2 linked regions of the Arabidopsis thaliana genome follow. The protein of the gene in region 2 interacts with the protein of the main gene of each other region in a pairwise test. Each region holds a gene or a part of one and is shown on either strand. Other genes may lie near its edges.

Evidence for each region. The genes of interacting proteins can lie anywhere in the genome.
Region 1: the proteins of TCP15 (region 2) and RCAR3 interact in binary tests that used the Arabidopsis thaliana proteins (3 or more experiments, as listed by UniProt).

Annotation. Positions count from the first base shown.
Region 1 is NC_003076.8:21,558,861-21,562,697, reverse strand, and holds the start of RCAR3 (regulatory components of ABA receptor 3), read right to left. Parts: upstream 2,098-3,837; 5' UTR 1,673-2,097; coding exon 1,535-1,672; intron 1,254-1,534; coding exon 1,038-1,253; coding exon of another isoform or gene 958-1,037; coding exon 745-957; 3' UTR 1-744. UniProt on the Arabidopsis thaliana protein: Receptor for abscisic acid (ABA) required for ABA-mediated responses such as stomatal closure and germination inhibition.
Region 2 is NC_003070.9:26,214,235-26,217,834, reverse strand, and holds the start of TCP15 (TCP family transcription factor), read right to left. Parts: upstream 1,827-3,600; 5' UTR 1,387-1,826; coding exon 409-1,386; 3' UTR 1-408. UniProt on the Arabidopsis thaliana protein: Transcription factor involved the regulation of plant development. Together with TCP14, modulates plant stature by promoting cell division in young internodes. Represses cell proliferation in developing leaf blade and specific floral tissues.

The DNA of each region.
Region 1 (3,837 bases), on a different chromosome or scaffold from region 2:
GGTCCTCTGATGAAATTACATGTATTGTTTGGAACAAAATTGAAAGAAAACATATAGAAGCAATTCTAATGATACCACCTGTCAATGTGACCGATTCGAATATTTATCCACTACTGTAATTTAGGAAAAAAGAAACAGAAACACTTTGGCATTGTAAAAATAGTATACAAAACTTTTTACAGCTAATGGAGCTAAAGTGTGTTTCCCCAATCACAAGTCAAGACAAAATCTATAAACAACAACAAAGATCTCTTTCCTTAATGGTCCTTTGTGGAGATTTTTCACATCTCACAAACCCTATTGGTTCATCTTTAAAAGTAGAAAAAATAAATATAAGAAAGACGGTGTGTGGCCTTTATGGGTGCAACTAAAAGTGTTAAAAAAGGAAGAAGAGAGTGGAACCCCATGATCACACACACTTTTAACATGTCTTCTCTGCAAATTGTAAAAAGATTCCTGCAAGTTGCTAAAGCTAAACTCCAAAATCATATTTTGGTTCTATAGAGAAGAAACCAAAAACACATTCATTAAATTAGACACATGAAATTAAAAAGAGGGTTTGAAAGTGAAATGACCCCAAAAATAGCAAATGAGAAACTTATTATGTAACTGGATAAATGATGATACTTTTTTTGCCTTGTCCATCCTCAAAGAAACTCACCCACTCTCTCTTTTTCCCTTTGAGAGCTTCATCCATGGCAACCAAAATCTCTCTGATTCAATAGTTTCTTACTCCTTTGATCTTTAGACTCTCGATTCTGTCGTGTCTTGAACCGCAAGACGTTCAGAGATATCAGCTAAAGATTTAAGATTGCATTTGATTAAAGCTTCAACAAAGTAACAAGTCTCATCCTTTGTGTTTCCTTCTGGTACATCAACCACAAATGACTCAATCACAAGTGTTCCTATTCTTCCTTCTATAGTCTCGGGGTGAAGAGAGATGATTGAAGAATAGTTCTAAATCCAAAAACAATATAGAACATATAAGTCTTTGATTCACTGTAAACAGAAAACGAACCTTTTGATTCATTGATTACCTTAAGTCTATGATCACCACCAACGATTCTGATACTGAGAATATGCTCATTGTCATCAAGTAACTCCAATCTCTCAGTGCTTCTAGTTGCTGGTAGTCCAGATTTCACATCAACTTCTCTTACTGTACCAATCTCCATGTTTCCTTTCACCACACATCTACTGATAAACGGCTTATACTTCTGTGGCTGATCAAATCTTCTCACAAGTGACCACACCTATTCACCAGAGAGATTCAAACTAATCCATAAGCGTTTTTGGGAGCTTTTTTTTCCAATAAAGCAAAACCAGATCAAACAAACTCAGATTGGGATTACACAAATGCTATGTAAGCTTTCAATAATTAGAAACCAATCGATTCTTCATCAGTAAGATCAACAATCGATGAAAATAGAGAGAGATTTCAAATTCTGGATTGAATCAACAATAAGAAGAACCGATTAACTTAAACAGAGAAAATCAGAGCGCATGAAGGAAGAAGAAGAAGGGAGAAGCTTACAATATGAACAGGAGCGTTGATATGTTTAACAAGCGTAGAGCTACACTGATTATCCACAAGCTCATGCTTATGATGTCTCCTTATAAACTCTCTTTCCTGATTCGGATTCGTCAAGTTCTCAATCCCGTTAGCTTCCATCTTCTTCCTCCGTCTTAAGCCACGGTTTCTCAATACCTCCGCGTCGGATACGACAAACAAACAAAAAACAAGGCCAAATTCGTCGCGCAGAAGAGAGTGAAAAGCAGCACAACAAAGGAAAAGATAAGATTGAGCTGAGAATCGTAAGAGATCTGATCTCAGAGAGAAGTTTTTTTCCGGCGAGATCTTCCGATGAAAGCGTTACTGTGAAGAAATGATAGATTATACAGTCGCCGTCTTTGGAGGGAGATAAGAAGAAGATGAGAGAAAGAGAAAGAGAGAGAGAGAGAGACGAATCCTCCAACAAACTTTTTTTCTCTCTCCTTTTTATAATATTTAAATAAAAAGACTCAGTGAGAGATTTTTATAAAAAAAAAGAAAAAGATTGATTGGATGGTATTGGACTAAAGGAGTAAAGGTCTTTCTCTGATTTCACTACTCTCATTGGATGCTTTCTTCTATTATCCCACTATTTTCTCTTTATTTTCGATTTTGCCCCTCGTTGTCGTTTTTCTGTGTTTTATTTACCGTTTTTAGTTTTACCCCTCAAGTGTGGTAATTATTTAATGTTGATCCTTAAAGTATTGTTTAAGCCTATGAGAGCTGACTCAATTATTGGATAGTTTTTTTTTTTTTTTTCTTGGGTGCTTTTTCATTTGGATAAAAGACTTGTTTTGACAAAAAAAAAAAAGGATTAAAGATTTTGAAATGGTTATAGATTTTTTGAAATTGTTTATGGCTTAAGTTTTTTCCAAAAATCTACTTTATAGCCAATTAAGATTGGGAGAAATGGTTTTCCTTATAAAAATAAGGAATCTAGATTTTTAAAGGAAATCTAAAATCTATGTTTCATTGGTTTTTCACTTTTTAACGCTATAACTTTTTCATATTTAGTTTCAAATATATATATATATATATATATATATATATATATATATATATATATATATAATTAATGCAAAAATCTAAAAACTATAAACCAAATCCAAAAACCACTTAATAACTTGCAAACTGTTTTCTTTTGTTAATGTGTACTTATATTTTAGGTTTTCTTGTTATTGGGATTATAGTATTAGTGGTGTACTGTAAAATGTTTGTGTATGTGTGTGTATATAGTAGAATGAATTCGATCAGATCAGCATATAGTTCGTGTACTTGACTGTGATCAGACTCAAAGAACAATTCAAATTGTCGAAAATATACTAATTTAAATTGATGAAAATACTACAAAATTTCAGAGAGATTGTTATAATGCAAACCAAACATAGGGCTTAACCAGATTATGCTCGTTAACCTTTAGCTGAAGAAGAGATAGTACACATATTATACGGATGGTCACATTACTAGGTGCATGGAGGTATATTGATGTCCCAATTAGACATATAATCACTAGTTAAAAGTGTGCTTAACACCCCCGAGCCAGACCATGATCAATGCAGATTCGGGGCCTTTGAAGCAAACTACAAAGGACCAAATCTTTTTTTAGGATTAGAACGACAAATCAGGTACTAAGTACAAATTACAAGAACTTCTTTAGGTATATGATAAAAATAGTAAACATCTATTATTCCAAGTATTAAAAATAGCTAAAATTTAATGATTATACATGCACTGCAGTTATTATGGTTATCATCCAAATTTTATTCTAACCATTTAACATCGATTGTTTCGTACGTTTTGTCAGTTCCATACCAATGATTTGTATTATGTTCTCTTTGTTTCGTCTAATCCGGTTTTCTGCATCATCACCAATTCCAGTATTCACTCTCATTCGACTCATAATATGAAGTAAAAGTTCGTAAACTATTAAGTTGGACTTCGCTTTATTTTTTCGCATTCTGACAATAGTATCTTGTTTTGATCATTTACAGTATAATATTAGTATCTTATAACCACTAAGGCCAGAATAGTAAGTATATAGTTTGATCATTTAATTTACACAATCCTTTATCCAAAAAATATATTGTATACAGTATCATATATAGGGTTTGCTTCACAGTCTTAACTTTTCCTGACTCGAAGAGCCAATCTCGAGAGAGCAAAAGGTCCCACGTGCTTTATCCAACACTCTTTATTAAATCCTGAATAAAAGTATCTCAAAGTGACAAAGATTTCTATAACATAAAAAGGTTTGGCTCTTATAAGTCATATCTAGAAAAAGAAAA
Region 2 (3,600 bases):
CGAAATAATTTATTGATAATCCGTACTGAATTAATATACATATATAAAAATTGTTCAAAAACCCTAATCAAGTATTAGAAAACTCTCACACTCAATAGTAATGAGGAAAACATTTCACAAGACAACTACTTCAAGCAAAAATCTCTAGAATAATAAAACCAAAGCCTTGCATGCAAAAACCACAAACTAAAACATATCGATTATCAGGTTCTTAATTACTTACTCAATACATTAATCAGAAAAATAAACAAGATGAAATCCGTAGAATATTAGAATTTAGAAATAAATAAAAATATATGAAAAAGAAGCAATGCAAAAAAAACACGCTTGTTAAGAACAAACAAACAAACGAAAGGACAAAAAAAGAAAAATAAATCTCACAGAATATATTTGTTTGTGTATGTTTGCCTAGGAATGATGACTGGTGCTTCCATCTTCTTGATGGTTGTGATGATGATCTCCGTCACGGTTTTGCTGGTTGTTGTTATGGTTCCCCGTCTCCGCCACCGGTCGGTAAGCAGCATTCAACGCCGCTAAAACTCCATAATGGCTATGTTCTCCACCGCCACCTCCTCCTCCTCCATAACCAGAAGCCAAAGGCTGTCCAGAAAACAAAGCAATAGGAGCTGCAAAATTCATCAAATGAACTCCACTACCGCCGCCACTACCACCACTGTTGGGGTTGTAAACATCTCCGGCGACAACACCGGAATGATGAGGATTAATATTAAAAGCCCAAAGATTCTGTGTGTTGTCACCACTACTCCAAAACGGTGCCGTTGCAGGACTCTGACTCGTAGGTAAAGATCCAGCAGTTGATTGTACTAGATAGTTACCCATTTGGTTGTGATCTAAAAGCTGTGAAGAAGAAGAAGACGAAGAATGTGACTCGTTCTTGGGACGAACCTGATGCTGATGTTGAAGATGATGAGTCATGGACTGATGTGGTGAATGAAAGTAATAGCTACTAGGAGTTGTACGAAGATGAGCAGCAGAGAGAGAAGATCTTGAGCTACGAAGTGAGATGTTTAAAGAAGTGAAGTTAGCCGGAATGGTTCCAGTCCCTGTAGCGGCTATAACCGCTGGTTCTGCTTGTTGGAGTAGCCACTCAATAGTTTCACCGTCGGATTTGTGACCAAGCTCACGTGTGAGCTGAAAGACACGTGCAGCACACATGGCAGGCATACGGATCCGACGGCCTCGGCCTTCGACTTTGGTGTGTCGGTCTTTAGTAGAGGTTCGTTTAGGAGGAGGCTTCTTAGGTTCGGAGTTAGGTTCGGAAGTAGTAGAGATGATGGCTAAGGAAGTGGAAGAGGAGGAGGTAGAAGAATCAAGAAGCTGGAGAGGGAAGTTGGGTCGATGGTTATGATCCGGATCCGGATCCATGATGATGATGATGATGATGATCGAAGCTTTGGTGGTGGGGAAGTGGGACTATACTACTGTCTCTGTTAGATCTTTATGTGAGCCATAGTTTTTTTCTCTCTCTATAAATCTCTGTTTTTTTGCTGATACTTAGAGAGAGATAGAGAGGTTATAATATGGTCCTTAGGACATGAAACTCCTTTCAGATGGGAAGCTTAGCTGTGTCTATGTCTGAGAGAGAGAGAGAGATTAAAGCAATGAATATGAAAGCATGGACTTTTTTTTTCTCTTGCTGCTTTATATCTTTTGTGTTTTATTTTTGGAATTTTATTTACATTATAAACTATTCCCTTTGAGAATTTTTCGTTATTTTTGGAAATAAAAGAGATGGGCTTACGTGGTTCTCCAATCTGTACAAATATTCATTCAAATAAAATGTTTTTCCTTATTACGTACAGTGATCAAAGTGAGTGAAAATAAATGTTGTTCGTGTATTTATTGTGTTTGGATACATAGTTTTTTACAATAATACAATTACCCTATACGAACACTCTTTTTCATTCTTTACAATAATTAAAAAGTGACGTCAGTTTCTCGTCGTAACTGTTAACTTCAAGCGATCGGGAAATTAATTGCACATTTAGCGAAAATTTCAGCGATTCAGACAGAACTGAGAAGTTTACATATATTTTGTACATATGTGACAACAGAATAATAAATAGATAGAATTATTATTGACAGAATGACAGTGATTAATCCATGGCTCTATGGTAGTTCACGAGATCCACATGATATAATAGAATCCAACTGCTTTTTTTATGAAACAGATGGATTGTTTTTTCTCCTCTGTGACTCTTGAATGAGTTACCAGTTTGATATTATTATTTATAAAACCATAGTTACAGTGCTTTATAGATATATAAAAGCAAATTTGTAATGCTTCTCTTTTGTTTCCACCATTGGAGTTATCTCATTGACATACAATTGTCGTTAAAAGATGTAGCACTAAATTTAGAAAATTATTTTGATACTCTGATGTGGACAGAACATTGATCTTTTTTTTCTGAAACGAATTTTTATATGTAGTGAATAGTGATGAAGAAGGCTCCTTCTTATGTGATGATTATTCATATAAGCTGTTCAAAGAATCAAAATATACGGTGTTACATAGATTATACTACTAATTAGGACCAGCGTAATATATATATATATATATATATATATATATATATGGTAACGTTAAAAATATAATTGAATTAGAGAATACAAAAGAAAAAAATAATATAAAAGTAAATTCGAATTATTATGAAGATATTTTAAATAAATATTTTTTAAAAATCTCAAATTTGTGTTTTATAGAAATTGAGTGTAACAAAATAAATCCAAGTTATTACATAAACCAACATAAGCATGCATATAATAATTGCCAGGTAGTATATTTGAATATACATATGATTTTGTTAAAAGAAATGGAGAAAACCAATTATAAAAATTCTTACACATATTAATTTTGAGTTTAGGCAAATTCATCTTTCTTAGTATATATTGAAAATTGTAAAATATATTTGTTATAATCTTACTATTCTTTTTCAAATGTCTAAGCTTTATGAAGATAAAACTTCTCAAAAATCAAAATATAGTATTTTCTATTGTGGCTAATTATCGTCTCTTAGTTTAGACGAATCATTAACGTTACGTGTAAGGTGTAACTAGTTCTGATGATCTCTTAGGAACGTTGATTAGTCTAACTATTAGAAACTTTACGCATAGCCACATAAAACCTATGGGATGTCCAAACATTTTCGCCCAAACATATTTACAAATGACAAAATTTTATATTTTAATTACTTATATATGTGATATCTTTTTATGTTTTAACTAGAATATGTTCATTGACCATAATTTTCCCTCGTAAAATATAAATAACTAAAAGTATCGGCCTGCTTGTAGTAATTAGTAAACCAATCAAAATATCAAGAAAACTATATATCAAAGACTAAACAGAAAAGAAAACGAATTGATAGTTAAAAGGTGTTGTGCATATTTGACAAATCTAAAAAGCAAAACAATTACGATTCACAAATATGATCAGAAGATATTATGAATAAGAAAGTCAGCCGACTAATTAATCACTCATTAATTATTATCAGTCATTTTCTCCACTGGCGTATCTATTTATGTACATATGACTCCCTATTTTTCCTCTTCAAACAAGAATCAATCACACTTTGCCCC